3 linked regions of the Schizosaccharomyces pombe genome follow. The gene in region 3 interacts genetically with the main gene of each other region. Each region holds a gene or a part of one and is shown on either strand. Other genes may lie near its edges.

Region 1 (12,359 bases), 910 kb from region 3:
ACGGAATACAACGGAAGAGTAAGAGTGATTCGACAAAAATCTGAAGCTAAGCAAAAATCTGGTTAGCATGAAAACAATGGGAACAACAACAAAAAAAACAAAATTTAGACAGCTTAACAAACAATTCTCAACCACTAACTTAATTAAACAAACTGATTAATCAACTAACTAGGCAGCTTGTTCGTTTTTGCTTCCTACGGTTTGTCAACCATCCATCCACACTTACCAAAGCCGAATCAAGAGATCAACGAGTTGCTTTTGTAAAACAACAAGCAATTGTATTTCCTTTTTTTTTTGTAAAAAAGCTAGGCGGCGCAAAAACAATCGTTCTTAATGTTAAGTTTCCGCAAGCCAGATAGATAATGTAACAAAAAAAAACAATATATATATCTTTTATATTTATATATATTTATATACAAACACAGAAAGTAATAGATATAGATCGATAGTGTATACGATATGCGACGCAGCAACAATCGAATATCAGAGTATCGCTTTCTTTTATAGGATCAAATAAGTGTATCAAACAGACACTGAAGTGAAATAAATATTACACTTGTTAAGGGTGAGTGGTTTGATCGTACTAAGTCAAATCGATTCTAAAGTATACGATGGTGAATTGAAGATGGATGGAACAAGCCTTCCTAAGTTCCAGCATATCTTTTTATAACCTTTACGTAACTACGACATGAGAAAAATTAATTTGCCTCATTGCTAGGATACCTTTTTCTTTGACTCATCATCGATCGCCACTGCCACCATATTAACCTTGACTTGCTACAGTGAAGGATTACGAAGAACGAAGAATTGTAATTGTCGCATGACGAAAGCACTTCCTTCTTTTTGCGAATGTAATGTCTGCTTCATACTGAAGTCTATGGAATTGGTAATCCCCTTTCCTCTTAACCCTTCGTAGCAAAGTGAAGTGCTGTGTTGCAATGAAGCTTGTTGGAACTGCAATGCAAAGCAATTAAATGCGTTAGCATTCTATCGCAAACACTATTCAATCATCGAAGTGTTCAGAGAAGAAAGGAAGGAGACTTGACTGATATACTTTTACGATTGACACACTTTTGCAATCGACTGAAGAAATTTCCTTATGAGCAAGCGCACCTGTAAAAAGTAAGTACCTAAGCAACAAGTCGTCCTTCTCAATCATAGAATCACAGCTTCGGGCCCTTTCGACTTGTTTTATGAAGATTTTTCTTCTTTTTCATGTGAAAGTAAATTTTCATACACTCGTCAGTCTTTCTCTAGTTGTTGTACCTTGTTCTTTTTTTTTTTTTTTTTTTTTGAATTTGTACATCTACCCTCATCTCCACCCTTTGCAACATGTCATGCAAGTACAACGATTAAGGGATACTAAAACACTTTCCAGTAACTAACAAACACATTTTCATACTCATATATTATCCATTAATTGCTGTTACGTATGGGCGGCACAATATCACTTACATCTCATGAATTAGCGACATGAATGTGGAGAAGCTTGGGGAAAAAGAATGCGACAAACCTTCCTACAACGTAGCCGTTTATTTTCATAGGAATAGATAGAAATAGAATTTATTGAAACATTCTTCATTTGAAAATGGGTTTTCAACAGACTTGGTATTCTACCTTTACAAACTTATTATATTTTCTTCTTTATTGCTCCATTTGTTATATTCACCAGCCCCAATTTGATGTAACGCATTTCGCAGTTCCTTTCTGCACCCTACTGTTCTTTACGGTACATCACTCTTATTGTTAGCTACGCAGTTCGGTATCTGTTTACCGATACATATTGACCCGCGGTGAGTTTCTCTTGCGATCTACAATATAACGGTAAAGCGGTATGCGGTATGTTCACTAGTATCTTAGTATATGACATATAGTGATACGCGGCGTAGTAAATTATATAGTGTAGTGCTATATTGCTGACGCACAATTCGCTTTACTGAATTTGTCTAAGCTGCACAATTTTTTTACTGTTCCCGCTACGCCGCCTTACCTTTGTAGTACATGTGACTAGACAAACTCGCTCTTTTATCACATCTCACTCTTTTACACTATGCGTTTTATCGTATTCCTTCATTATACACTATGCATGCTGTACTTTTTAATGCTACACTAAAAATACGCACACTTATTGCTTTGAATTCATTTACATTAACTTGTCACTCATTCACTATTTTTACATTAGCACCTTTTTTCTACTTATGCTGTTATTCTGAAAACAACAATAGAATATCTTTAAATGATAATTTGTTATTATAAGATAACTAGTTTAATTCCATTTATTCTAAAAACATTAACACCTCATGATCGTTTGTTTAAATTAGAGTAACAATATATACAAACAAAGAGACAAACGTCAAATAGGCAATTGGCTTATTAGCTCCAGCGGAGGATGGGTATAAGCCAGTAACGTTGGTGTTGTTACCGCCTGTGAAACCACCCGTCGTGTAGTAGGTATAGTTATAGGTAGCTGAACCGTTCCATTGACGAACGGTAGACCAAGTAGATGTACCAGATCCTTGATAAATAGGATTGCTAGTAACAGTACTGCTTTCAGGTGCTTCGGTAGAAGAAACAGTTTCGGTAGCAGGAGCTGAAGTGTAAACACTAGTAGTATAATAACTAGTGGTAACAACAGTGCTAGGCTCGTACTGGGTAGAGGAAGTAGTGTAAGTAAAAGCACTAGATTCTCCGGATACTCCAGTAGTCGTAGTAACATGAGTGACAGGATACACGGTTGAGCCAGGAACGACAGTGCTAACCACAGTAGAAGATACAATAGTAGTGTAATATCCACTTGAAGAAGTCTCAGTAACAGCAGTAGTAGGTTGAACCTCAGTAGCAGTAGTGACTTGAGTCTCAGTACCAGCAGTTCCAGTAGCACCAGTAGTAGTTTGAACCTCAGTGGCAGTAGTAGCTTGAGTCTCAGTAGCAGTAGTAGCTTGGGTTTCAGTACCAGTAGTGACTTGAGTCTCAGTACCAGCAGTGCCAGTAGCACCAGTAGTAGGTTGAACCTCGGTAGCAGTAGTGACTTGAGTCTCAGTACCAGCAGTTCCAGTAGCACCAGTAGTAGGTTGAACCTCAGTAGCAGTAGTAGCTTGAGTCTCGGTACCAGCAGTTCCAGTAGCACCAGTAGTAGTTTGAACCTCAGTGGCAGTAGTAGCTTGAGTCTCAGTAGCAGTAGTAGCTTGGGTTTCAGTACCAGTAGTGACTTGAGTCTCAGTACCAGCAGTGCCAGTAGCACCAGTAGTAGGTTGAACCTCGGTAGCAGTAGTGACTTGAGTCTCAGTACCAGCAGTTCCAGTAGCACCAGTAGTAGGTTGAACCTCAGTAGCAGTAGTAGCTTGAGTCTCGGTACCAGCAGTTCCAGTAGCACCAGTAGTAGTTTGAACCTCAGTGGCAGTAGTAGCTTGAGTCTCAGTAGCAGTAGTAGCTTGGGTTTCAGTACCAGTAGTGACTTGAGTCTCAGTACCAGCAGTGCCAGTAGCACCAGTAGTAGGTTGAACCTCGGTAGCAGTAGTGAGTTGAGTCTCAGTACCAGCAGTTCCAGTAGCACCAGTAGTGGGAAGGACCTCAGAACCAGTAGTTGTAGGAGTATTAATGACAACCGTAGTGGTTCCAGTAGCAGTTCCAGTAGGAGTAACTGTGACAGTAGATGTCTCGGTTCCAGTGTAACCAGTTGTAACAGTAACAATGTCGGTTTCAGTCGCAGTCACTGTGGTAGGTGTTTGAATAACAACTGTAGTGGTTCCAGTGGAGGTTCCAGTAGGAGTAACTGTGACAGTAGATGTCTCGGTTCCAGTGTAACCAGTTGTAACAGTAACAATGTCGGTTTCAGTCGCAGTCACTGTGGTAGGTGTTTGAATAACAACTGTAGTGGTTCCAGTGGAGGTTCCAGTAGGAGTAACTGTGACAGTAGATGTCTCGGTTCCAGTGTAACCAGTTGTAACAGTAACAATGTCGGTTTCAGTCGCAGTCACTGTGGTAGGTGTTTGAATAACAACTGTAGTGGTTCCAGTGGAGGTTCCAGTAGGAGTAACTGTGACAGTAGATGTCTCGGTTCCAGTGTAACCAGTTGTAACAGTAACAATGTCGGTTTCAGTCGCAGTCACTGTGGTAGGTGTTTGAATAACAACTGTAGTGGTTCCAGTGGAGGTTCCAGTAGGAGTAACTGTGACAGTAGATGTCTCGGTTCCAGTGTAACCAGTTGTAACAGTAACAATGTCGGTTTCAGTCGCAGTCACTGTGGTAGGTGTTTGAATAACAACTGTAGTGGTTCCAGTGGAGGTTCCAGTAGGAGTAACTGTGACAGTAGATGTCTCAGTTCCAGTGTAACCAGTTGTAACAGTAACAATGTCGGTTTCAGTTGCAGTCACTGTGGTAGGCGTTTGAATAACAACTGTAGTGGTTCCGGTAGAGGTTCCAGTAGGAGTAACTGTGACAGTAGATGTCTCAGTTCCAGTGTAACCAGTTGTAACAGTAACAATGTCGGTTTCAGTTGCAGTCACTGTGGTAGGCGTTTGAATAACAACTGTAGTGGTTCCAGTGGTTCCAGTAGGAATAACTGTAACAGTAGAAGTCTCAGTACCAGTATAACCAGTTGTCACAGTAGTAACGGTGCCAGTAACAATGGTTGTAGGAATGATATACGAAGAGTTTCCATAAGGAATCTCAACTGTGTTGGTAACAACAGGGCCAGAGGAACCGGTCAATGTAGTTGTAAGAGATCCGGAATATCCAATGGTAGTAGTGGTAGTAGTAGCCGAAACACTGGGAGTTTCGATATAAACTGTAGTGGGACCAGTCTCACTTCCACTGTGAGTAACAATAGAAGTAAGCGTGGTTGATCCAGTCCAGCCAGTCGTAATAGTAGTATAACCATAATTAACACTAGTAGTGGTAGGGACATCAACAGTTTCAGTAACAATGCTATTGCTACCGCTACCAGTCAAAGTAGTAGTTACCGAACCAGAATATCCAACAGTAGTGGTGGTAGTGACAGTTGTGGGATAAGGAGTCTCCACATAAACTGTAGTAGGTCCAGTCTCATTACCACTGTGAGGAACAGTAGTGGTAAGAGTAGTGGATCCAGTATAACCAGTGGTAACAGTGGTGTAACCATAGTTAGTAGTAGTGGGAACCTCAACAGTATCAATAACAGTACCATTGCTAGGAGCTCCAGTCAAAGTAGTAGTGACGGATCCAGGATATCCAACAGTAGTGGTGGTAGTGACAGTTGTGGGATAAGGAGTCTCCACATAAACTGTAGTAGGTCCAGTCTCATTACCACTGTGAGGAACAGTAGTGGTAAGAGTAGTGGATCCAGTATAACCAGTGGTAATAGTGGTGTAACCATAGTTAGTAGTAGTGGGAACCTCAACAGTATCAATAACAGTACCATTGCTAGGAGCTCCAGTCAAAGTAGTAGTGACGGATCCAGGATATCCAACAGTAGTGGTGGTAGTGACAGTTGTGGGATAAGGAGTCTCCACATAAACTGTAGTAGGTCCAGTCTCATTACCACTGTGAGGAACAGTAGTGGTAAGAGTAGTGGATCCAGTATAACCAGTGGTAATAGTGGTGTAACCATAGTTAGTAGTAGTGGGAATCTCAACAGTATCAATAACAGTACCATTGCTAGGAGCTCCAGTCAAAGTAGTAGTGACGGATCCAGGATATCCAACAGTAGTGGTGGTAGTGACAGTTGTGGGATAAGGAGTCTCCACATAAACTGTAGTAGGTCCAGTCTCATTACCACTGTGAGGAACAGTAGTGGTAAGAGTAGTGGATCCAGTATAACCAGTGGTAACAGTGGTGTAACCATAGTTAGTAGTAGTGGGAACCTCAACAGTATCAATAACAGTACCATTGCTAGGAGCTCCAGTCAAAGTAGTAGTGACGGATCCAGGATATCCAACAGTAGTGGTGGTAGTGACAGTTGTGGGATAAGGAGTCTCCACATAAACTGTAGTAGGTCCAGTCTCATTACCACTGTGAGGAACAGTAGTGGTAAGAGTAGTGGATCCAGTATAACCAGTGGTAACAGTGGTGTAACCATAGTTAGTAGTAGTGGGAACCTCAACAGTATCAATAACAGTACCATTGCTAGGAGCTCCAGTCAAAGTAGTAGTGACGGATCCAGGATATCCAACAGTAGTGGTGGTAGTGACAGTTGTGGGATAAGGAGTCTCCACATAAACTGTAGTAGGTCCAGTCTCATTACCACTGTGAGGAACAGTAGTGGTAAGAGTAGTGGATCCAGTATAACCAGTGGTAATAGTGGTGTAACCATAGTTAGTAGTAGTGGGAACCTCAACAGTATCAATAACAGTACCATTGCTAGGAGTTCCAGTCAAGGTAGTAGTGACGGATCCAGGATATCCAACAGTAGTTGTTGTGGTTGTGGTAGGGACTGTAACAATAAGAATTGTTGTTGGAGGGGGACAACTAGTACTTGTTGAACCAGATGTGGTTACAATTAAAACCGTTGCTGGGTTGCATGAGGTGCTAGTCGTATCAGCTACAAAAGTTGAGCTCGCTTCAACAGCATTTGAAACTTGTGAACCTGAAGTGGTAGTCGAATCAGGAAGAAAGGTAGATGGGCTTGCTTGAATTGCATAAGAAGCTTCTTTCCCTGAGGTAAAAGTGCTAATAGCAGTCATGGAAGCGTCGTTGCTAACGGGACTAGCAGTAATGTAGTTAGCATCATTTCCATTTTTTACTGTGAAGGTGCTAGTAAACATGCTAGGATCAACAGCAGCGTCTCTGCCAAGTAAGGTTGGCATATCGTCAACTAGGAAATTTGGATCCGCAAGCTCGGTCTTTGGAAGTGAAATATCGTGAGGCACTTCATTTTGTGATGCAGAGGAAAGGTAATCTTCAGGTTCCATTCCCTTTTGCAAAATCCTGACATTTCCAGAAGGTAGACCAGAAGTCAAGGAGGGAAGAAGAGCAGCCGTGAAAAGTAATGCCCGAGCAGATGTGGATAAAAACCTTCTAACAGACATTGTTGATATATTCAAAAACGGGTAAGTGAATTAGAAAAAAACAAAATTATTAAGATAATTTAACCAAACGAATAAAAAAATTAAATATTATCAAAAACAAAATTAAATCCAATGCTTGACGATTGGTGTGCAGAGCGCGTTTATTGATAATATGATAGAAATTCAATTAGAAAAATAGTGAATCCCAAATGAATAAAGCTCGTAGTTTCAACAGAGAATGAAGAAAAGAGGGTTTAAATGAATGCAAAATTGCGAAAAGATTAATGAAAGAAATAATATATATAAATAAAAAATAACTGGATGAAAGGAGATTCGCAAGCTGTATTACCAAACCAACCCAAACACGAAATTACCCAGTGTTTATTTTGTGTAAATGTAGGACAACTTAAAACCCAATTTCAACCCGAAATCCTAGACGATAGAATGGGGGATGTAAAGAAAAAAGGGGAGAATATTAAAAAATAAATGCTAGCCAGATTTATTTTAAATTATTCAAATGAATGTAAAATACCCACTTGTAATTCAAAAGAATGTAGAATATGTACAAGAGCAGATTTGTTTCTCAAAAAAAAAACAAAATTGGATGCTGGCGAAAAGAATGAGTGAAGATATTGTTATCACAGATTCGTGCAGCGAAGAGAGATCAAGTCGCTTTCCCAAAATAAAGATGGAAGGAAGGAAACAAATGATGATACAACAAAAAAAAGAAAGTTCCAATAACCAAACTCTAGCAACCTCAACAAAAAGAGAGAGACAGATGGTGTATATGGAATAGGTAATCCTTTTTTTTTGCAATGTTCGAATCTTTCTCGATGCTTTGCTTTTATAGAAGAAAGTCAACGATCTTAATCTCGTTAAGAATGTTTTGGATGTTCAATTGATGACTGATTGACGAACACTCGACCACTCGCCTTCAATGTAGGAGCGAAATAACTTTCTTAAGTAGATGCGGCCATATTTATAAATAACTACACCCAAACCAATCTGTGTGAAATTTTAGCAATGAATATTTACGGAATTTTTCCTTTGCGACTTTTTCTATACCCCTCTCTCTGTACCCCGATGACCCTTTTCTCAAATGTTCCCCGTTTTTGCAAGTTTTTCTTTTTTTAGAGAAACATTTTGAATTCGAATTTAAAAAATCGTTGTCACCTATGTGGAAGACCCCGCGATAACATAAAACCTCTTCGCAAATTCTAATTTCGGCTAGGGAATAATCTCTATCTCGGGAACATGGAGGTAAGGATCCACTTTTGCATTCTGTGCTGGTTCCTAAGAATATCGAGGTCGAGCGAAGAAGAAAATTTCGATATATGGAATAACGAGACCGAGTATGCTAAAGAAAGAGAAGAAAAGAAGGCTGATTACAGGAGTAGTGTAGAGGATGTAGCAAGCGCAATTTTAATTGCAATTAAGAAGCTAGTGAAACAAGAGATTAAGATTTAATTTGTGGAGATGACAGGAGAGAAATGAAAAAGTGCGACTATGAAGAATGATGAGTAAGTGAGTGGAAGTGTAGTAGAGATGGGGTTGTGGTAGCGAGAAAGGCGGTGTTTAGAAGGATGTAGTAGTAGTTCATGCAATGTCAATTCATTAGTTATGCAACGTCTAAGTCGTTAGATTTTCAATGTTTGCTTAGTGATCAAAGCATTTATAATTGAAATTTTTTAGTTCAATTTTAAGGTGGCAGCGTTCAGTTGCTATTTTTTCGCGTCTATTTGAATTGCGACGATTGTAAACGAAAAATAACCTTTCAATATTATGGATGGATGTCCATTCGCGCATTGGAAAGTTTCTACTGATTTGAATGACTTTTTACGCGTCCTTTTCCAATTTCTTTTCCTACAATTTTTGGCAATTGTTTTTGTTTTTTTTGTTATCACCACTATTGTTTCATCTTCTCCCTCCAACTAGCGTTCTCCTCGGATAAAAATACTTGCATTTACTTCTATATGTCCAATTCATAAAATTACAAGTATGTCAAACCTCTGCCGGCTTATAGTCCAGCTTGCCTTGGAGGCAGAATGCATGGCGGCGCTCACCAGGTGTTGTCAATCTGGTCCCGTAGAATGGTGGTAATTTTTGCAACTCTCATTACTCTACGCTAATTATATATACTGCATTCTTAAGTAATATAGTGAATCGGAATGAGTTTTTTTTTTTTTTTTTTTTTTTTTAAGCAAATTGGATCGGAAAAACAAGGACAAGAAATGAACGAAAGCCTTGATAATTACGAGAAAAATTACATAAAATATATGGAAATCTTTTTAGAATGAAATGAATTCTTTTGCTTCTTTTCCAAACGTCAAAGCCAACGTACTATATCCTTTTTGCTACTGTGTACATGCTACGCTCTACTTCACTAAACAGTCAGGTCAGTATGTACTATTTTCGGTCAGTGTGTACTTTTTGCTCTGGTTGTGATTAAAGCTAGTTTGGCTTAGCCATCATGGATGGTAAAGCCGGCAATGCCTAGGCACATGTTGAAATGGTTATTTTTATAGAACTAGCTATTTTGGATGAAAGTTTGAGAAGGAAACCCGAGAATATAGACTCACGAATAAAGAAACACTCATTAATTATTCGTTTAAAAGATATGAGAAGAAGTTAAAACAAGAACCTTTCTATTTTCATCCACCATTCACACAACAAATACTTTTTGTTTGTAAGCAGCTTCTTGTGTTTCTCGTCTATTTCTGTAAATAACCAACATCGGATAGCACACCCACTTTACTTTCTATTCTTAGTAGCCGTCGTTATTTATTTTTAGCAGTAACCCGCTCCTGCCGTACTAAACGGCATTCATAAACGGAATTAGTGCAGTGTAGTGTAGTGCATTCAGTGATCAAAGGGGATCTTATTTTCTTCGATTGTCTTCTAAGTTTCTCTATTTTTAGATGGACATTTTAAAAAAAGTCTTCTTCGTGTATTGTAGAATACCTTACCCCCAAAAATAAAAAAGAATAAAAAAAGAGAATCCTGAATCACACACACTCTCTCTCTTTCAAACATTTTTTTTTTCTGTGGAATTGTCAATTTATGTGCTGCGAAACTTTTCGCTAATTTCAACTTTACGACTCGTAAAATGCTTCGTTAAGCAAAAGGGGTAGGCTTATATACTATTAGTAAATAACCATCGGTCCGACAAGGCAAGAGGGCAATTTCGATTATGCATCCAATTTTCATAAACTGTAGAAGGGAAATTAGATAAAAAAGAGGTGGCTGAATCAGATGCTTTTCTTTTCTTTTTTTTTAATTCATTATTTGTTTTCACACAGTAAAGTTTTATGTGTACATACGAATTCACCAATATTCATACACTCGGGTTCCCATGGAAAACAAGGCAATCAAATTACGATAAAAAAATATATATATGTAAAGAAAAGAGCAATCGTTAATTGTTGTTGTTGTTGTTTTTTTTCGAAGAGAAGTCGTATTTGTTTCTTTTTTTTCTTAGACATTTTATTGTTCCTTACCTTTATTTGTTCTTCCATGCTTTCTTTATTTACATAGGGTCTCCGTTACTTGATGTTCTTTACCTCTTCCTCGTGCTGAAATTGAATGGAATACGTCATGATTTCGGTAAATCAACCCTTTAAATTTTCGGTAATCCTTGACCAATGTTTGTTTCTCAAATACAAAAACACTAAAGCTTATACGTCATGACATGATGTTATCTGTTCGTTGAGTGGAAGGATGATGTCAAACACATTGTCCAATTGCGGCTTTTAAATTTCGCTTCCTTGTTTATTTATGGCATCATATGAAGAAGGAGAACATTGTGACTCCATTCCGCTTCGTTATTCACCTTTTCAAAACAAGAGGTTTCTACGATTAGCGAGGTCGTCGTTAAGCATAATTAAAGAGAAGAAGATATACAAGATGGTAATTTGATTCTTTATTTCTATTTATATTTTATTTTTTACTTTGATACTTGTGTCCCACTTGTTAATTCTATTTCTATATTATTTTTTCCACTTTTTTAATTCTATTTCTGTTTTCTATTTTCTAATTTTCCGCTTGCTACTTTTACTTCTATTTACAAACTCTATGCCTATCGTGCGTGACTTTCTAAACAAGTCAAGGTTTTATCGTTTCATCTAATGTTTTATGGCATGTGGAAAGTTTGTTAACCTTCCCATAATTTTAATATGGTTTCATATTCAATTTCTCTTGTTTTCTCTTATTCTCTGTTGGAAAGGAAAAAAAGTGGTTGAGAGTATCATTTGTTTCTTTCTACTTTTCTCCCCTAACTATTGTGAATCTATCATCTTAATCTCTCCCCGCTTTACAATCATTCAATAAGGAAAGTATTAGGAAATGTTGCTGACTCCCACTTTCTCTTTCCCTCTCCCTCTCCCTTGCTCCAAGGGGATGGATGTTGAATGTTCAGAGACCGGTATTAAGGTGGAGTGCGTTGTCGTTATTCTCATGAATGATGGAGTTGGAGAAAAAACCGATTTTAAGAGGGAAGCGATGAAAGCTGGGGGTTGAAAAGGATTGGAGTGGAGTGGAGTGGAGTGGAATGAATTGAATTGAATTGGATTGGAAAGGAAATGAAATGTTTATGTTTATGTTTATGTTTAAAAGGATGATTTGGTTTTCAATTCAAAATTTCAAGCTGTCAGTCTTTTCTTTCTTTATAATCGCTTTTTTTTTTTGTTTTAGTTGTCATACTTTCTGTGTGTTTCTGTTTCCCGCCCACTTTCTATGACTCTTGTCGAATTGTCACACATTTCTTGCGTATACAGTTGGCTGGCTTTTTTCCTTCTCATTTCGTCTGTGAATTTTAGATAGGCAATTGAAAACATTCACAATGAACAAGGGATACTTAGCATTCTTTACAACAACCTTTTTCAACGTTTGTTTCTAGGGAAGCATATTTCTTCAACAAACCGATTTCATCTTTTTACCCAATTAATTTAGTAAAGGTCATTTCAAAATGTATCACTTTTTGAGAGAATGGGTTTGTTGTGCGTCGTTCACTAAATCACTCTCATTCTAGTCGACGGAAATATTCTTTTTCACTGTGGTGGTTGTTGTTGTTATTGTTTTTTTTTTTGCGTTTCGTCATTTCTTTTTTTCTCGATTATGTGGAAATGCAATTTGTTAATGGAAAGGCTGGATATTGGATGATGCTTGATTTCCTAATCGTTCACTAATATATTAAATAATCCTTGTTCAACCATTTTCATTTCCTCCTGTGTTCTTCCATTACCTACATTTTTACTTGTTTCAATTGCAATCTACCATCCATGAGGACATGAAGATTTCTAATTTATATTATATAGACATACATGTTTACACACAATGTATATATATATGATAATTTCTTCTTCTTTCCGACTTGGCCAC
Region 2 (10,098 bases), on a different chromosome or scaffold from region 3:
TATTTTATTATTAACAAAATTGGTTAGAATTGAATATGACAAGTTGAAGACTCAATCAGCTAAGTTTTGTCATAGATCGGATCGGAACAGGCGATTAACAGTGTTGTGCTGAAGAAAATAGACAACAATATGATCAATAGAATCAACATATAACAATTAATCATCATTCATCGAACGAATGCAAGCTTCGCGATTAAATAACCGCGAAAGATTTAGTGAACTAAATATTCTCTCAGCTTTTCATAAATAAATTAAAATTAAAACCCAAATATATTAGAAAAAAAATTAAACAAATGCCAATGAATTTAACAATTAGATCAGTTTACTTAATAAAAGTTAAGTATTGAACTTTCTGACCCTTAAAACAATAAAGAAGGATTAACAATAAGGATACGAAACATTTCAAGAAAACGGTAACTTCTAATCGCAATTGCTGCAGTATTAAAATGTAGCATGACGAGCGAATCTCAATCTTAAGAGTACACAACGAGGCAAAATGATTTTTTTATGTTGCTATCCCACACTTCTCAATACCGTTGGTAACTCATTAGTAATAGTGTTATTCTCACAAATCTCCTTAGCGGTGAAAATTCCAATTCCATGATTCATAATCAATTCTGCTAGGGGTAACTCATCAGTGTCATCTAAATCAACGTGATAAGGGATGTAATGCAGCATAGTCAAATTTTGAAGATAACTGCTTGTTTGTAGCATAGCAACAGGACACACTAATAAAGTGGATGCTTGAAACTCGGTTGTGTTTTCTTCAGGCAAATTGACGACTTTAACCTCTTCATAGTAAGTCTCCCAAAATTTTGATATCATTTGTTTTGTGGAGTAGTTATAAAGATGAGAGGTATTAATTTGGCTAAATTTTGGACGAGCAAGCATCCAAGTCGGAGCACTATAAATCTTCCAAAAATAAATAGTCGTGGGCATTTCCGGATTAAAATACAAATTACAATTTTCCATGGTTGTTACATTTCTCTGTTCGATAATATTTTTTACTTCCAAAACCGCAGGGATAACACCATTTTGATGCATTATGCCGAAGAAAACTGCCAAAACAACTGCATACATTACAAATAAAAATTTGATCCAATATGAACGAACTAGACATCCAGAGTTCACTATAAAAATAGAGGCTGCGGGTAGCAAAAACCTGGGCTCTTGGTGAGGAAACAGGGATAGTATGAAAACGGGGAGAAGCCATAACCAAGTTGCAGGTTTTCGAACGTCCCAAAGCTTTGGAACAAAAATCAGAGGACCACAAAGGAGTGGCATATTAGTGAAAAAATGTGTTAATCTTGAGTGCAATCCGTGCTGTGACAAATTTTCGATTTGAGAATTGTATTTTAAATTATTCCAAAATGTTATCACAAACACCCCATAAAACTTGTAGTCCTCGAGGATGCATGCTAAGACAGTTGCAAAAGAAACTGAAACAAAAATACATAAGTGCAAAAAGATGCTAATCCAGTTAGTGTTTATTCCATAATATATTTTTAATTCAATTTAAAAATCAAAATCACTTACTCTTTCGGATTGTTCACGTTCTTTTTAAAACATCGAACAGAAAAATAGATATAGGGGGCGATCACAAAAGCTAAAAAAGTGATTCTTGTGAAAAATCCTAATACACTAACAATTGCAAGCAAAAATGTATATAAATAACTAATTTTCTTGTTTAATGGCTGATTCTTGTTAGTTAAGAGTTGCCAGCTATTAACTTACCACACTATTCAACTTCGAAAGAAATAGTATAGTTAAAAAAAAGAAAATCGTTTCAATTGAGTTTGTAAAAGTATGTGTTTGAAATGTAGTAGCCATGAAGGATGAGGAATATAAAAGCAATGCACTCCATCTTGCGTTCAAAGGTACGATGTTCCAAATACTCAAATCTGCCAAAATTAGTCAAGGAAGGAGGAAATAAGGTTTGTAGTAAATTCTGAAATAAATTCCAAATTTATCAGAGCTTAATATTCGCCAATGTACATACCTATTAACAAAGAGATCAAACACATATAGAGTCTAGTGAACAACAAAATAGGATACGGAGAGCAGTTCGCTTTTGGATATGTAAGAATTTCGTTCAATTTAAAATACACTTACATTTGCAAATACACCGGCAAAGCAAGAAAATAGGTAAAAGCATCACATTCAAAGGAACTACAGACCGAATTGGTTTTTTAGTAGTAAATTCCCATGGAAGTTCCACTTTCCAGCCAAATAATTTATCTTTATATTAGTCATAAATTGTTGAAGAATTGTAATATACTTGCGAATATTTGAAACGATTGTAAATGCTCATCCGGATGTATGTATGAGCTGCCTTGCGAAAACCAAAAGCGTAAAATTAGGAGAAAAGTATAAATTATAGCATATTTACGGTTTTTAAACATCCTTAATCTCAATGGATAAAGCACGGGATTTATTGCTTCAGTGTGCAATGGATTACACGATGAAGATATAACGAGATATTCCGAACTATATATGTTTGTTATGAAAAAGGTTTGCTAAGCGAAAATGTAAACAACTCTTGGTCGACGGGTATATGTTTAAGAATACACGAAGCATACAAAAAGTATACGTTAAACTAATGTTTCAGTAAAATAATTGTACTAGAAGAATTGCAGGTCTTATTACATTTTAAATTAATCTAACTCAATACCCAAAACATAATTAATTTTAAACAAATCTAATATTAAAAGCCGTATTTTGGATCAACGATGGGGTAAAATCAATCACTAAGTATAAACAATGTCAACTCTCTTTAAAAAGGGCAAAAAGTTAATAAACTATAAACGAAGCCAAACGTAACATCAAAGATAAAAAATAATACAAAACCCTAAATGCAAAACTGTGCAAATACTTGCATCACATTGCAAAAGGAAATATAGTTAGACACCCATTAATCACAGGTGCAAGCAAAATGTCTTGCTTTGGAAATTAAAACATCATTTTTGTTTGCTTGTCGAGGCCACTGCTGTCTTTCTGGATGGCGGAACTTGAATTCCTCGTTCTGTGGCCGTGCGAAGACAATTTTGTCCAACTTCACTTTTATAATGTCGGTTAAGTGCATCCATGCGAGCAAACCTCTGATTGCAAGTGACACATGCAAAGGCTTTAATGCCAGTGTGTAACTGCTCATGTCTCCGTTTATCATGCTGTCTAGCAAATGATTTCTTACAAATCGAACATTGAAAGGGACGGTAATTTGTATGTGTATTCATATGACTTTTCAAATTATAAGCCCTAGTAAAACGCTTATTGCAACCAGCAAATGTACAAACGTAATTTCCTTGAGACTTAGACTCTGACTTTGCTTTAGACGAAGACGAATTTTCCGATTTGTTTCCTACTAGCGAATTCAATGATCGACTTCGAGGACGAGTATTTCTAACTGACAAATAATCGTTCGACTTAGAATTATCATTCTCTATTTTTCCCAGCAGTTCGGTATCTTGGTTAACAGATAGACATTCAGAAGAATGTGAAAAGTGAGTATATAATTGAGGTATGGGCTCATAAGCATCAAATCGTGAGCCAGCACTATTTGATCGATGACGAGCCGTATATGTGGGTGACATTTCAGGAGCACAAAGATTAGCGTTTTGTAAGTCATAAGAATTTTCATTCATAGCAGGTTGACCAGATACTGGAGATGCAGACTGGCTATAAGTGATACTAATGTCTGTTTGAAGAAGAGGATTTGCTGGCAAACTAGGTCCAGATTGGGATTTGGAAGGAGATGAAGGTACTACATTAATTTGTGGGGTACCCGAAAAGTTGTTTGAATCATAATTCAAAACGGAATTGCTTAAAGCGGTAGGAGAAATAGGGTCAAAAACGTGTGTTGTTAAAGAGGCATCTGCATGGTCCTCAGAAAAAGGAGAATTTACAGAACGAATAGTAGATTCTCTAGCATTTTCGCTGTTTAAAGTCCTTCCGGAGTTTGGAACAAGATATGGGGATGACTGGTGAGAAAATTCAGCGGAAGGACTGTTCTCAAATATGAAAGAAGGTGTGGAATGGTTAGACAATAAATCAACGGAAGGATTCAAATTGGTATTATCCGTATCAAAATCTATACCAGTGTTGCTTTCACCAGGAGACGCGTTCGTAAAGGCCCCCAGGCTCCCGGAAGAAGGTGGTTGAAGGTAGTCAGCAAAAGAACCGGTTCCGGTAATATTTTGTTGATTCTCCATCAATAAAGATGGATCTTCAAAATCAACAGAAGGAAATCTCTCTGAATCAACTTCAGTTCCAGATGCCTGTGACATTACATCAACAAAATTAAAAGCATCGGCTTCATACAGAGCACCAACAGAACCTTGTAAATATGGAGAACTCGGATTTGAAACAGATCCTGAGGGAAGGAAGGATGTTAATAGCTGAGGCGATGAAGATGGAGAAATTTCAGAAGCCGCAATTGCACGTGAAACTGGTAAGAACTGAGAAGAATCGATATTTGAAGACGGAATACCAATATTAAACTCATAAATGGATTGTCGTCTTGAGCCAACATTGTTAACAGTAAAGTCGTTGGCGTTATGAGTAGAACTCGAACCTTGAGTCAAGTCAAATGCTTGCGGACTATTTGATGGATTACTTAAAGGGCTAACGGAGTTTTCAAATACCGCTTGACTACCGAAGCCACTGACTGAAGTATCGTTCAGTTCTGTAAATGAAAAAGTAGGTACATTCCCGGTTCGAGGATAAGAATCATATTCATCGGATTTTGAAGACGTTTTAAAAGGCTCGGAGGTGTTGGGATGGAGGTGCTGAATATTATTTTTAGAAGGATTGGAAATTAAAGAAGAAGAAACTTCAGACGCAAGAGTATCCTCAAAAAGGGGGATATCAGCAAGCGAAGTGTCATTCATGTACGTATGCAACTCGCTAGAGCCTCCAAGATCCGGCTTTGAAAGGTTATCGTATAAAGAAGAAGGATTCAAGTCTTTGAATCTACGATTCGCTTCTTCTGACCTTTGACGCTCCATCGATGAAATTCATCAAATAATTAACTTTTGGAACGGTACGCTCTCAAAAATATTGTCTGAAGACTCACCAACTCTCTTTAATTGAATGGTTAGACAAATTATTTTTCAAAAAGCCTATAACGTGAATTTTTTGACCGAATAGTAGAGTAAAGCTGGTTTGTAGTAATAAATTGGATAAACCAGCAACACCAAGGGTGTGAAATTTATTAGTGGAATGAATAATTAATTACCAAAAGTATCGTTTAATAAACGAAAAAATTAAGACTTGAGGTCGTCAAAGTTAATCCAGTGCTTCACAGGATTTGATCAGATAACGACAGAATTTCTTGATACAAAATTTTGTATTTTGGAATAATGCGCAGGATAAAAGTCTGAGAAGATTGATGGTTAGTACAATATAATTGTTAGCTAAGCAACGTCAAAAAGGGCATTAAGCAATACAAATGAGAGGAGAGAGTGCGACAAATGAGATTTTCACAGATCGAAATGAGGAAGTAACCTAAAGGACAGCACAAGAGAAAACCCTTTAACGATTAGGAAAAATTGCAAAATTAGGTAGACAAGTATACAAGCGCAAATCGCTAACTCGACATGAAAAAAAACAGAATAGCCTCAATATACTACAGCGTCAGCTAAACGCTTTGATTTTCACAGAAAAAAAAATGATAGTTTAATAAATGGCCAGCAGATTATATATTTACAACGGATGAATTGCTAAATCATCAAGATATTTCTGCGATGTAGTGGTAAAGGATTGCACAAGACGTGATCGGGTAACGAATTTTAAGTAACACGCAGTTTAAACTTGAAGTTAGTATGAAGCAGCAGGATGCTAAAGAACAGTTTGCTAAACAAATTAAAAACAAAATATAATAAATTTCCATATACAAAGGATCCCAGTTAAGGAGTTCCAGAAATGAAAAAAAATTGGTTTTTGAAGGATATTCATCCAATTTTCTATTGAAAATTTACTGGACTTACTAAAGGGTGGCGACTTGTGTATAGTAAAGTGATGAGACATGTATTTTATACAAAGCACAAATAGCTAAATAACATGAATGTATGAAAATTTGTTTTATTTATTGAGCGACATCAAATATATATTCTAGTTTAAGGGGTAGGAAGCAAAGCCACATACTTTAAAGTGCCGGTTATTAGTTGAAGGCGTGCCCAAATGTAATACCACTTACAACATGGAGAACTTCCGTAGGCTTGTCAAGAAGCATTAAACCCCAAAGCTTGAAATTCATGAAATTAGCTTTTCAACACCATCCGAAACTCATTAGTGGGGAAGCAGAATAAGGTGTAGTACTACTTATAAATTGTGGAATAATTCTAAGTTGAAAACATAAAGTACTATAAATTATATGTAAGAGACTTCAAACCACCATGCAATTCTGACTATTGATTATTTTTGAAGAATCTTCTCTCACGATACGACGGACGGCGGCTTTGACGAGTTCCAGGCTCTTTGGTGCAGAGGCTTAGTTGAATGTTGTGAACGAAGCGGTTCATATCGGATACTTCAACCGATGTTCTGTCAACTAATATATATCATATTTGCAAATATCAAGAGCATTTCTTGTATTAGATTACCTAGATGCAGAAAATCCCAATTGTAATGCAACGAAATTGCGTATTGTAATAAATGGTATAATAATCTTATTAAGTATTTGTACTTCGTAGCAAAAGATGACTATATTGTGTTGTAAGAGCAACCTATACACCTCGTTTCGTAAGTTCTTTGATGGCGGAAGCTTCATGAGAAGCTAAAAATTCATAGTATTCTTTCAACCTCTGAAAGACTGATTCTCCGTTCCATAAGTCAATCCCTTCACTATTTTTCGTGTGTGCCGGCAAACCGTGTTGTTGAATGACAAACGAAGCGGCTACAGTAGCTTTAGCACAAGCTTCTATAATATTACCCGTCCTATAATACTCCAAGATTGCAGCTCCACAAAAAGCATTACCAGCCCCAGTGGTATCTAAAACGCTTCCGTTTTTCATTTGTACACTTGGCAAATGAAGAATTTCTCGCACAGGGACAACTGCATCGCTTGTAGCGTTGGTACTACTCGTGCATGCACCAATTAAACAACCATCGGACCCATTTCGAAGAACAACCCATCCTTGAGAATCGTGCCCAATTTGGAATTCTTGAAACGCAGATACAAACTCTTTGGCTCGAGATTTGCTTTCGCTAATATCTATACCCAGAAGGTTGGCAGAGTCCACCTCGTTTGGAGAAAATATATCACAATACTTTAAGGCTTTTTGTAAAATATGCCAGTTTTCCGGTAAACAGGATTCAGGCGTTGGCTCCCATACGATTTTAGGACGATTTTTTAGATTTCCATACTTTGCCAGTTCCTCACACACAGAGACAAATGTTTTAGGATTTGTAATAATATGAATTGTTTTTGCATATATCAATCCTGTTTCCAAAAGATCAGGAGCACGAATTGGCTTTTTAGGTGTAAGGTATTCAAACAATCGAAAACCATTGTCCCTGAGACGGTTGTAACCATATGTAGTTTTTCTCCAAGGCGTTTCTCTGTATACAATTCCAGTATGTAAATCGTTTAATTCATCGAGGATCACCTGCGGGAAATCAGAGCCTTTGTCAACAATCATTCCCAGTTGTTGACTTTCGGGTTCAGACGTCCAGAGTCTAGCACCAATCAATGCTGAAAATAATGTGTTAATTATTATTTTAATAATAAAAATATTGGACGCAATGCATCTTTTTTCTAAGGGAGAGGATTTCAACCTTCGATAAACAGATATGCTTCACCAATGAAGTTCGCAAATCGCTCCGCTTAAAATTTTAAAAAGAATTAGACACTTACCAAAAGATCCTGCACCTCCAATAATATCTTTAATCTTCTTTCCGCCGTCGAATTCAATTTCATCTATAATAAACATGCCTTGCATTCGTTAGCACTTATATGTGAAAGTTTTTACCAGTTGTGACGAATTCCACATCTTTCGAAGGATAATCCATTTTGTTAATCCCAAAAAATTACTGTAAGTTGTTTTTTTCTTAATTATAAGAACATATATTGCTTTAATGTTGGTGCATTAAAAGTCAGAGTTAGCGAACATCTGCAGATAATCTACGTAATTATCAATAAACATCCTGCACTCTGTATAGTAATTTAAAGGTAACATGGCGAATAATTAAATAAAATATTTCATATTTATGAAGGAAGTGTTGAATCATGCTGAAAATTAAGTATCCGTAAAAAATGTACTTTTGCATTTGCTTACTTTTGTATGAGATGAATGGGCATACTACTACATACCATATATCAAGCACACATGTCATACTTAGAACATTGTATTTTCCTAACGATATATAGGAAGTACTCATCATTCTCAAAAAGGAATTATCACTTTCCAATATAAAATTAACTAATCTAAGTGTTAGCAATGCAACAGTCCTGACCAGTCAATTAGCAAGCAATATAGCTAAGTCTACTCTTTTATAAAATTTCAAATGTTACTTCCCAAAGCTTTGCTCTTTAGTGCGGAATGGTAAGATTGGGAAAAAGAAATTGAAGTCGTCTAATTGCATCTGGGTTACGATGCTTGTGATTTGTTTGAATCCCATTTTGAACACTTTCTCGCAAGTTCCTTCCCAAAAATCCTTGCAAAAGTGGAGCTTCTAACTTTTTGACGGCTTCCAGTAAAAAGATTTTTGCATTATCTTTATTGTTACTGATATGTTCCATCACGGTTTCAACAGTAACAGGCTCCTCATTCATGCGCCAGCAATCATAATCCTATTTTTTGTTAAAATTCCTTCCTAATAATAAGTTCAAAGTACTTGTCTAAAAAGCATGGCTTTGATTTGAGAGGTACATTGAATGTTAAAAACTTACTGTAGCCATGCAAACCATTTGGTAGGCAATCTCAGCTTCGCGAGCTAGTTTGGCTTCGGGAATGACTGACATGTTGATAATACTGGCTCCCCAGCTTCTGTATAAATTGCTTTCTGCACGCGTACTAAATGCAGGACCCTCCATACACACGACAGTAAGATCATCTCCTTTGCGTTTGGTATGTAATTTAGAACCATTTTTTAAGTTGGAGCCGCATGAACTTAAAATTTCATACAAGTCTTGATCAAATGGATCACCAAACGAAACATGAGCTACACAACCAGATTCAAAAAAAGTGTTTGGACGAGCACAAAGGGTGCGATCAATAATCTGTGTAGGCAGAACAAAATCCTCCGGTGGAATATCCTCCCTCAAAGATCCAACAGCGCTGAACGAAACAATTGCCAAAACACCTAAACTTTTTAAAGCTGCGATATTTGCTCGAGATGGAACTTCTGTAGGTGTATAAATGTGACCGACACCATGTCTAGCCAAAAATGCAATCAAAAAACCAGAGGTTGTGCGGGCAATGGAAATTGGAGAAGCTGGATAACCCCATGGCTGAATAAAACGTTAGCAAATCCCAACTTCCAGTTAATCTTCATCATACCGTAATAGGATTGACACTTTCGACAATATCAAATCCTGGGAGGTCATAAAAACCGCTACCTCCAATTACTCCAAGAAGAATTGGCTCAGCTTGTTTGTTCATACTTTTTTCAATGAGGGAATGGATAAAGTGCTGAAAATGGGTAGCAAAACTACACCTTTAGGGCAGATGAAAATTTTTGCGAGTTGTCAATGTCAAGGAATAAAAGATTTTCAAGATATTTAAAAGAAAGTTATTTGTTATTTATACATTTTAATTATTTTTTTTTTTTTTTTTTTTTGTTGTAAAAAAAATTATTATTTATTTAGCTAGTCATTACAAAATAACGATTCTTTTTTTGATGAAGTAAATTTGTTTTCTTCTTTTTATCCAACTGCTATGTTTTTTACATTTTTTCTAATACTCAGGAGTGCTCTAGTGGTTTATAAATATAGGTACTTTAATTGAATACGAAAATATACCGATTAACAGTAATATTCAAAACTTCTGTTTTTGTATATCATTGAGCTTGTGTTAACTAGAGTACATATTTTACAAATGTTAAATTTATGTTTATTTTCCAAACCTGTTGTCTAAAATTTTAACTATAATGAGAAGTTTT
Region 3 (11,069 bases):
TCGCCATATGTAGTAACTTTAAACAAAGTGCCGAAGGAAGACATACTTTACAACACAAATCTGGATAAAATAAACCTCCCTGACAATATCAAATTCCTTAAAAAAATACCCTACTGCCGACTAAATAAGATATGCCACAAATCTAGTTGACTGTTTTACCAATCCCTTTTTTTTTTGTTTAGGCAAAAGACAGCTAATTGGCAGCGCAAAGAAACGCAGCTTTAGTGCTGTGAAGATTGTGAGTTGTATCACAACAATTTTACTTGCACATACAGACTTCAATTTCAATTACCTTATCTACTATTTATTGCAATTTATCCTGTATACCTTTACCTTGCGCTATGTTTATGATTATGAACTTTTGCTAGATTGCGTTAATCGCTACAGTTTATGAATCAACGGGAATGTTTAGGAAGGGAAATCACAAATCTCGTGATTTTTCATCGATAATCCTATCTCTATTTTTATAATACGGACAACTCTACTTTACGGATTGCTATATAAACTGTTCTTATATTGCGCGCATGGTATCTCGAAGTAAACAATCACATCTTCTGACTCCGGTCTACTTTATAAGTTTTATCTTACCAGGTGTAAAACCATAGACATATTGTAATGTAAGCTAAGGCGATTTCAAGTATTAAACGCCTTGGTTTTTATTAAGATTGATTAAATAATAAAGTTCGAAGGTATGCTAATCAAATTCGGTTCATTTTTGCGGAACAACAGGCATTTCGCGATGCAATAAACAAAGAGGTATTACATATGCGTATAAACATTTAAACATAAATATGTGTCCATCCATATGCTTTAGTAAGACGGAAGGGATTGGTGAAGCATCTTTAGCTTTAGATTATGAATGAATATCACAAAAGCTCGGGACGTGTTTTTTTTTTCAAATAATAAATAAACAAGAGTAAGAGAAAGAAACATTAAATAGCTTCTCTCGTCTTAAATGCCAAAAGAACTTGAGAGAAGCTTTCGAAAATAAACAGGAAATAAAAAAAATGAAAAATATTTTAAGTAATTAAGAATTAATAAAAAGAATAGAAATCCGACCTTCCAGAAGTTATAAACAATGACAAAGGAGCATACTATATAAAAGTACAACACCCACTAAAATCAATCCCCTCCACGGCTTTCATCGATTGATTAATCCAAGCTATGTTGTTGCTCATTTCTTGTGCTCTGTTGCAATGTTTATCACTCAAATAATTAAATAAGAATAAGAACTTATACAATAAATAACGTGTCAAGCAAAATCTCCTCTTTTAAGAAAAAGAATTGCTGACCGAGTAGAGACATTCCATAACACTAACATCGTTTTACGAAAAAGATACTTTCGGTTAATCAAGGGCGAAAACCATGTTTACTTGAATTAGGCTTCTGACGAGGATGTTCCTCCGCATCAACATTAACCATTATAGAATAGAAATATTAGTAACAAACCTTTATGCAAAAAGCTAACCGTCCGAATTTCAACTATGCAAACCAATAATATAAATAATAGTAACAATAATATCAGATTTCGGGAAAACAAAGTTGTAGTAATAAATAAACACAGTAGTGCGAAAGGATATGGCAAATATGTGTAGTTGACAATAAAACCATTTTTTAAAGAAAAACAAAAAGAGTAAAAATAAATATACTAATCCCTTGCAAAAACTTTTCAATAATAAAAAAGTAGTAAAGACAAATAATTTAGTGACTTTCCAAAGGCCACTTATATCCAGAATGAAAGAGTGTCTCGTATTGAAATAATAAAATGGGAGATAATTCCACTGTTGGTTCAAACATACACACCGGGATTTCGCAAATTAATTCGATTAAATTTGCAGTACAAGCATATACTCGTGAAGAGAACCGGGAGTCTGAAATAATGTCTGGGGGTAACGTCGTATCAGGCTTGAATGCATTGATAGACTTCACTTCACACCGCGTATACGCCATCCAAATCTGCACATCATTTGCAAACCCAGTGCCATAAATGTGGAACATTGAATTTTCATCAAGTCGAATAAATTTCACAAACGGCATACTAGGAACTACGTGAAATGCGTTTTGGTGAATTGGTTCGTTATAAAACATCGTTCGAACAGATTGCGTGGAAATAATTGACCACATGGCTGACCAAGGAAGAACAGAATGAGTGGCTTTCGTGGGATCATTGGGATCTGAGTATTCTAATTCACCTGAAGTGAAACTGATTTCACTAGATTGTTTTTCATCTATATACAGGAAACGCTTGGTTTCGTGACATTGAAAGGCTAGTTTGGAAAGACAATTAATGGCTTCACTTGGGGCCCTCGAAGAAAGCGATACCTTCCAATTATCGTGCTTCTTTAATATCAAGGGCGGCGATTGCACACCGGTTATTTTGCTTACTAAAATGATAACCATATTGGAGCACAACACTTTGCTTCTTGAGTCACTTGGATTGGAATTGTTTCCTTTGTTAAGTTCATCGACAGAAAAAATATAAAAAGGTTCCCATAAATTGTTTGCCATAGCCAGGCCGGCACCTTCGTTTTCAGCATCGTTAGGGGCGTCGGTGGTAGGGAAATAATTCGAATTGTATTTCATGTTAAGGGAAACTTTTGATATCGCTCTTTGAACATTGCTGGTACCTAGGAATAATGCATTGTTATGCTGAGCCCGGTATCTGTTGAATAAACAAACGCAATCACCATGGCGTATGCTCATGTCAGACACTTTCATCAGTGCACGTTTCTGACTTGGTTTAGAAATAACCCCTAGTCTTAAATTTTCAAGTTTGAAATACTTGGTTTTTGATTGAACCGAAAGTTGTAAAAATGTGGACCGGCCAAAACCATCATTTTTACCTTGGCCAGTATAATAAATAGTTTTTAATAGAGCATTACCCCAGACAGGGAATGAGTCAAAATTAGTGTTTTCATTATAATTTGTAAGCTGATAGGTAGATTTTGCAATATCAGTTTCAGGACTGATTAAAGCACCATCTGCATTATAGTAAAATATGTTTTTTGCAAACTTTGGATTGTCTTTGTCTTCCAAAGTTTGAGCAGAGATTTTCAAATTGTCTGTAACATTATTAAGCCATGTAGTCCCTAAAAGGTATAGCACAATGGGCGGACAAAGATATCGTCTTTCCGTTCCATAAGATTTTTGGCAAAGGGATGGCATACACAAATAAAAGGCGCTTAAACAATGGCAATTTGACAAAACATACTGAATCCGTTGTTCAATGGTGACGGGCTGGGAATAGACCATCATAGGGATAGAATCATTTCTAGCTGGCTCGCATACGGCCGATGAAGGTCTATTAACTAAAGACTTTGGATAAGTATCTTTGTTTTGGGAGTCTTGAGGATACAAGCCCATCTGCTCTGCCGATGTGGGATAAAGATTGGGAATCATGGATCCTCCGTCGACGGTAGTAGGATATTGTTGAAACGATTGATTTGGCACATCGGTTCTGGACAGGGGTTGTTGAAAATAAACAGATGATCTATCATAAGGAGGCATCATTGAAGGAGACTGCTGATAGTATGAAAGTTCTGCATGATCTTGCGAATAACTTTTTTCCTTCTCCTGGTAAGTGCCAAATGGAACACTCGGAGAATAAGGAGTAGGAAACCTTGAGGACGGAGAAGAGATGTTGCTTTGAGCAGCCTGATAATCGTTTAAAGAAATAAAAGAATTTTGATACTGACGGTAATTATTGACTGTTCCCAGTACAGAAGCTTTTTGTGGTGGTTGTAAATTTTGAGATTGAGAGGGGATGCTCTGCTTGGAAGTTGAGGCATAATATTGATTTGGAGAAGAATTACGAACAGAATCAGACGATGGAACATTGCTGTTCATGTTGACCTTTAATGCAGAGGTAGGTCGAAAAGAGGGGACCGGATGAGCAGGAATCAGAGGTTTCCGTTGTAACTCATAAGGATAAGAGAATGCATATTCATCATGATTTGGGACGGGTTGATGAGTTAGGCCTTGCGAAAGGTCATGCTGAGAAGAGAATGACGGAATAGTGGTATTAGAGGAACCATTTTGTTGTAGATTTTGATAATCTTGCATTTGGTTTAAAGATGGGGACTGAGTAGGGAGAATATTTGAGCCGGTAAAGGAATACGCATTGGGTTGAGAGGAATGGTCAGGAAGGACAGAGTAATTGTTTTCAAAAGTTGCTGGCGGATAAGGATGCATCTCATTGGAAGGATTCATCGTTGTATAAGGTGTGGAATAGGTTTGGGTGTTATCCTGTGAGTCCTCCTGAGGTAGACCAAAAGAATGAAATGAAGGATTAGCAAATGCTGTGCCATCTGCGTTCAACGCTTGAGATTCGTTTTTTTCCGAGTAATACGGACTCACTGAAGACGTGGAGTGGGCCTTGGAGCTACTGATGGCGGGTGAAACCGAGTCTCCATAGATGCGAACGGGTTCCTGTAAAGAGGTGGATTTGGCGAGTGAATACAATTGTGGAGACTCTAAATTAGCATTGATGGATCCTATTGCTGTAGCGACTCTTCTTATGTTCCTAGTTGAATCATAAAACTCCTGTGTTTTAATATCTTCGGAAGAAGGACGTTTCTGAACGTTTGGGGACATAGAATTTGACGAAGGTGAAAAGGATGCAATCTATTATATCCGTTTGGAAATTTTAAAACTTTTAAAACAAGCCTTTCACCTCTACAGCTGAATTTAAGAGATCCGTGGACGTTAAGTTTAAAAGTTCATGTACGCGCAATGTCTGGTATTTGATGAGCTGAGATCACTTAACTTTCCCTCAACATTAATTGCAACGAACAGGATGACCTATCAAGGGTAAAAAGTAAACTATTTAGCTAGCGTAAAGGTTGTTACAAAAGTGTTGTGTTTTCGTACAAAGTCAGGAACCAAATTTCTTAAGTCAATTCATTAATTTTTGTAGCAGTCCTAATCTTCCTTTTTTTTCTTTTTATTATTTACATGATTCCCTAATTCGGAGAAGTAAAATGTTAATCCGGTATTACTTGGATATACAGCCTTACGACGTTACCGAAAAATCGTTAAACAACATGTACTTTGGTTTTTCCGATTTTGCCTATAGCACGAATTGAGTGTGATATTAACGGGAATACCACTGAAAATAGAACGGCCAACAACTGTGACTTCGCAAAATTTTAACTGTTGGATGTCCAAATGGTGCAGAATGTTTTCATACCAACCACGCACGTCCACTTAGTATTCCCAGGATGGTAAATTGAAAAAATAAAATGCACGATAGGATAGGTAAGCCTCTTAGCAAGACCGAAGATTTGGCTTCCGTTGGTGACATTCGAGACTCACTTTGAATATTAAGCAGATGAAGTTTTGCCGCTTCTTAAATTCCTGATAGCAATTACGTACAAATTTTTTTGCTTGTCGGCGCCTTTTTAGGTCCGTTGTCGGTTGACACCTCAACGATGCCAATTCTCGACTTTTGAGCTTGCGAAGGAGATAAAAATGTTTTAAATGAAAAGGTTAAAAAAAAGGTTTAAGATTTTAAAAAATTTAAAGCAAGCAGTTTTCGGGAATCAAAATAATGTATGATGAGGATTTGCAGCGAATCCTAGATCCAACGGATGAGTCCTATTGATTAGTCAGTTATAATAATCCAAAGTAAGTTTTTCCAGTTATGTTCAACTTGTGCAGTTTTACGTTGACATAGCAAATGTTGGTAATCAACGAAGTAAACACTCTCAACATTCAACCAGTCAAGTTGAGCATTGTAAAATAGAGACAATCCGTGGGTCACTTATGATCAACTTTCCTCCGCAACGGACGCTATACCCCTCAATGGGATAATGTTACCTCGTGTAGAGAAAAACAATGAAAAAGTCGATCGCATGACGTTGCTGACATTGTTTACTAACATTGCAAAGTAAATAAATAAGTAAACAATTATACCAAGTAGGTTTGTTTACATTATGAAAAAAAAAAATTTTAAAGAGTTGCGTTGATTACTTTCTTGGTATTTACTCTCGTTATTTTTCGCTGTTCATTTGTGTTTGTTATTGTTGAAAGTTGTTGTTGATGGTAGGTGTGGTGCAGGCTCAAGGCCGTATTTATAAATGAATTAACGAATGTGTGAACCGCATATAGTCCATTAACATACATTCAACTTATTACTTAAGATGTTTTTAGTAATTGGGGTGTATAAACCTGAGTAACTTTTACCATATTAAGATGAGTTGGGCGGTTTCGAAATCTATAAAAGGGCATGCCAGTGAGTAAACTACCTGGAAATAACCGCTACATTTTTATTCCTTTTAACAAAAATCGTATAAATAATCCATTACGAAGAAAGACTTCGCTCTGTCCTCTTTTCTTACCCAGCATATATATACATAAACTTTTGTTATATTAGCATTCGTTTAAGGCACTTTTTCTTGTCCAAACTTTAATCAACAAGGAAATCATAAACAATTAAAGGTTCATCATTTCCAAACCCTACAAAGACCCGAATTCATTCTTCAGTATTCATAATTTCATTTCCAATCCCTTCCTGCTACGACAAAAATTTTGGTCGTACTTGATAGATTTTATTGCTTTTATTATCCCTAACAACTTTTCCCTCCTTTATATTCATTCTTCATTTATCATAAAATGCGCTTGTCTTCACGCTTTTATTTGTTTACCAGTTTCACTGCGTGGAGCGTAGTGATCGCTGGTGCAACCCCAGCGGTTTGTGGTGCCCCCGAGTACATTATTGAGACACAGAATGACTTGGACGTTTTAAGCAACTGTCAGGTTGTGAATGGCTCTATCATCATGAACACTAGCTCAGCTACTTCTTTGAATTTCAATAGAATAGAGACCATTACCGGTGATCTCATCATTCGTAATAACAACTACCTTGCATCGGTAGCCCTGACATCCATTTCCAGTGTGGGTGGAGAATTACGGTTTGAAAAACTCACACGACTCGCTAGTGTTTACGCACCTCAACTGGCAAATGTTGGCCAATTAACGATGCGTATCTTGCCAAATCTTCAAGGGATTCGATTCGATAAGGGGATCAAAAAGGCCCATAAGCTCACCATCGAGGATACCCAACTCTCCACACTTGCAGGTATTTCTTTGAATACTACGGATACGATGGTAATTGTTAACAACAATTATTTGCGAGAAGTTGATATGCCCTATTTGGAAAGTGTGGAGTCGAAGTTTTACGTCTCTTACAATGCCAGGGAGATCAGTGTTACCCTTCCTAGACTTAAAACCGTGGGTGACATGACGATTCAACGCGTAGCTCACTTACAACTTTCGAATTTAGAAGAGGTCAAAGGATTTTTAGGCTTCCTCAACAGCACGTTGCAGGATATATCATGCCCAAACATTACACGAATTGGACAGTCTCTTTTCTTTATAGGCAATCAGGAATTGACTTCGCTAAATTTCAAGCAACTTGAGAGCATTGGAGGTACTTTTATGATTGCCAACAGTGCAGCATTGGCACAAATCAAAGGATATGATAAATTGAAGACCGTAGCAGGATCCATCGACTTTACCGGTAACTTTAGCAGCGTTGAACTTCCCAAGTTACGAGATGTTAAAGGAGGTTTGAACATACAAACTACATCGAGCGACTTTACTTGTCCCTTCCGCCAGAGCGACGGGATCATCAAGGGCAAATCGTTTGTTTGCCGAGGATCGGTTGACAATCCCAGACAAAGCAAGGAGTCTTCTTTCGATGATGACGATTTTGATGAACTGTTAGGAAATGGAACAATTAAAGGCTCTAAGAACAGTACATCACCGGTCAAACAAAGTGGTGCCGCTAAGGTAGATAGCCGACCTTTCCGTCTTGTTACCTTTTTCCTTGTCTTAGTAAGTGGCTTTGCGCACTTGCTTTAAAGCCAAGAGAGACAAAGTTGACAATGTAAACGCAAGTTCATTTGCAAGATCGAAATCTACCCTTCAAAGCCATGCCGTCTATGATTAACCTGTTTCTATTTAAAAAGTAAATAAATGCTTTCAAAATAATTAGAAGGAAGATTTTCAACCAACAAGGATTACAAAAAAAAACGGCGATAAGTTTCGTTGCTTCATTTTGGATCACTTTACTATTTGCTGTTCCTTAATGGACACAGTGAAATGACGAGAAACCGGTTTTCAGTTGTTTTGTTGTGAGTATGGATAGTGAACACTTTTTCTTACCAATGGTTGGCTTTTCCTCGGTTTATTTATTTATTTTTTAGTACGGTTAGGAGAATGAAAAAAAAAAAGTATTTTTAGTGACTCCAGGTTCTATTGGCTTCTTATTTTTAAAACAAAAATATTCATCATTATTCTTACTATCACAAAACTACCAGTTATTATGTTTGTCTATCGATAACAGCACGCTACTTTTCTAGATGAATCATTTGTTTGTCTTGTTGTAGAGTAAAAGGCAATTTTTTACTAACAGTTAAACCCGCGCGTAGATGGTACTAATTTTATGCCATGAAACATATGATTTAAGTGGGATAAAAACGGAAGTACGAGAGCTGAACAATTTATCTGACAGGCATCCAAATGAATTAATATATAAACCAAGGAATGTGAAATTACATGAGTGAGTCAAGCATGCCTTTCGTCGTTTGTTTAGTCAACTAACAATTAGTGGTATTCAGAATGCAAAAAATATTTTTCTTTGTGTTGCCTCGGGTGTTTCAAGCCTTATCCATCCGAGGCACTCGTGCCTGTAAAAAATTGCAATCGGATAGAAGGAAGGTAAGGAAAGTGGATGAAATTTTTACGCGAATGCGGAGGAAGGCAAAATTTCTTGAAACAAAGTTGGTCGAACCTTGTTAAGTAGTAGAGAGTGTATATGAAGTATGGAAAAGAAAGAGAGAAAGGATGACTTCTCAACGAAAGATGAATTTGGCAATCACAAATGTTTCATATTTGGTTGTCAAGTTTAAACGACTTGCAACCGAGCCGATCACTGAAACAATTTCCAATGATCATAACTAAACGATCCTACTACTTACTGATTTGACGTAATTTGTCCTTTTGTTAATTTTTGGACGGTTTGGATCAAACATTTGAAGTTGCAAATATGATAAACTTACTGCTTGATTAAAAAAAAATAAATAAAATAAAAAAATTAATGATAGAACAACAATGATAAGAGAGCATCATTCATTATGAATGAGAATGTGTTTCATTGAAGCAATAGTTTTTGTGAACATACAAGGAGTGTTGTGATGAAAGAAAATGCAATTTGCCTTTCCAGTTTCTGATACTTCGTAAAGATGATGCTTTTTGGCTTTTGCTTTGTTTAAGGGTAACAAACTTGTGAATTGCCCAAAGCAGAGATGAATAATTTGAAATGAGTTTGCTACGAATTATCTGTATTTATGAATTAATGAAGGATGGATCTAAACCATTTAACAGGTGTAAATAAAAGCTTCATAGATTCTGTATAGTGATTAACAGTTTTTTGGAAAAATAATTTAAAAAAAAATTAATAATAATAATAATAATTTGGAAAAATAATGTTAGAATAACATACCAAAAATACCAGTATATTCAGACAATATGTTTTAAAACTTAAAAATGATTGTAGAGCAATGATTTTAATTATAGCTACGATTAGAAATGTTAAATGTTATTATAGTGTTAGTTTTGCGTTCGATTTAATTTTTGGTACACACGGGATATAACAGTTTGATTAAGCATTACCAATAGAGCAATGCAAGTTAAGAGGTTGTTTAAGCATGTTGTTGTCTAAGAGACTCACAAAAAGGTAGGTAAATGGATTTATTGCTAAACGGAAAATATTGATTTGAAAATTAAATTTTGGTCGTACATACTTTATTCGTAACAGATTTCATCAAAATTTTCACCTACAAAACATTGGAACTCAAAGTGTGACTGAATTCACAATAAGTAAATAATTACACTTCATAGCATACGATCCATTATTTTTTTATAGGTAAGGAATTTATTAAACTTTCCTTGATACCAATCCTCTTCACATAAATATTTATTTAGCGATCGCGTCGTTTTCCAGCGGACGTATGATTAATAGTTTGGTAAAATTGGTTTTTTAAAGCTTAGAACGGAACGGTTTAATATAACAAAACCACGAAACAATGGGTTTTTCGTTTTCCATCCTTTTTTAAAAAAGTTCATCACTCTCAACAGTGAATGCCACTCTCTCTCTAAAAAAAAACAGCGATTTGCTAAATCCTTTAGACAGGAATTACAGCTTCATCACGTAGTTGATATCTAGCCGTACACGTCTATTTACCCTCTCCATCTATCCTACCGTGAACTTGTTAAAAATTGGGATCGCCCGTTTTTTGTCAACAAAAACAAAACAAACTCTGTCGCAGTATTCATTAAAATGTCTCCGGATCCACACGAAAGCTTTAATGGTTATTAAAGGTTTTCATCATCCGTACATTCACTTGCTAAACAACGTTTTCAAGCTAAGCGATAGATAGAGACAGTAAAGGGGAAAACGTAAACGAACGTCTTCATTAACCAAGGTCATCCGTCTACAAAATACCCTGTACATATTCGCACCAAATTAGCGATAATGACTACAAGCGATCACAGTTGTCAAACGGGATAAACGAAATATATGCTTAATTTGATAAGACGACAAATTAAATCAAGCTCAAAAGAAGATTTATAAAGTACGCCATGCTAAAAAAAAACCCCTTGCTTCCTGACATCGTACAAAAACTAAACTGCTCACAAATATACTAAATAATAAATAAATTAGTTAACATCACCCATAAAGATATCAAATCTATTAGTTCCAAAGTCTCCTCTCAAATACAATAAATACTTTTTTTTATATATTGTCCTTGGGTCTGTAACCCACCAATATATTTTTCCTTAAGAAAAGGAATGCTTCAGTTGGTTAGTGGGAATACCGTTTTCCATTATACACTAGATGAGCGGAATAATAATACAAACATCGGAGTGCTAAACGGTGTTGAGTGGAAATTGCGTAAAAGGTTAATAATGCTGAACACCAGCATTAAAACTGATTAAAGGATGGCTTTGCTTAGTTCCTGAACGGAACAAAAACTAAAGCAGTGAAACATTTTATATTGCCTGTT

Evidence for each region.
Region 1: of cbf12 (region 3) and gsf2, changing one suppresses a phenotype caused by changing the other (phenotypic suppression), as found in Schizosaccharomyces pombe (one study listed by BioGRID).
Region 2: of cbf12 (region 3) and prz1, changing one suppresses a phenotype caused by changing the other (phenotypic suppression), as found in Schizosaccharomyces pombe (one study listed by BioGRID).

What each region holds. Positions count from the first base shown.
Region 1 is NC_003421.2:956,969-969,327, forward strand, and holds gsf2 (protein Gsf2), read right to left. Parts: upstream 9,045-12,359; 5' UTR 7,005-9,044; coding exon 2,313-7,004; 3' UTR 2,231-2,312; downstream 1-2,230. UniProt on the Schizosaccharomyces pombe protein: Galactose-specific adhesion protein essential for non-sexual flocculation and filamentous growth. Required for adhesion and filamentous growth through recognition of galactose residues on cell surface glycoconjugates. Induces flocculation when overexpressed.
Region 2 is NC_003424.3:784,162-794,259, forward strand, and holds prz1 (calcineurin-responsive transcription factor Prz1), read right to left. Parts: upstream 5,752-10,098; 5' UTR 5,004-5,751; coding exon 2,958-5,003; 3' UTR 2,617-2,957; downstream 1-2,616. Other genes in the region: smp3 (alpha-1,2-mannosyltransferase), read right to left, coding at 514-1,471, 1,537-1,694, 1,735-1,901, 2,000-2,068, 2,113-2,238, 2,279-2,402; SPOM_SPAC16C9.01C (carbohydrate kinase), read right to left, coding at 6,723-7,690, 7,853-7,930, 7,968-8,007; mta1 (S-methyl-5-thioadenosine phosphorylase), read right to left, coding at 8,528-8,788, 8,888-9,448, 9,498-9,599. UniProt on the Schizosaccharomyces pombe protein: Involved in the regulation of calcium ion homeostasis. Binds to the calcineurin-dependent response element. Transcriptionally regulates pmc1.
Region 3 is NC_003421.2:1,865,274-1,876,342, reverse strand, and holds cbf12 (DNA-binding transcription factor, CBF1/Su(H)/LAG-1 family Cbf12), read right to left. Parts: upstream 4,977-11,069; 5' UTR 4,594-4,976; coding exon 1,702-4,593; 3' UTR 501-1,701; downstream 1-500. Other genes in the region: aro2 (chorismate synthase), read right to left, coding at 1-44; GPI-anchored protein Meu10, read left to right, coding at 6,613-7,863. UniProt on the Schizosaccharomyces pombe protein: Transcription factor which function may be to trigger the increase of adhesion at stationary phase, possibly by counteracting or replacing cbf11 at the respective promoters.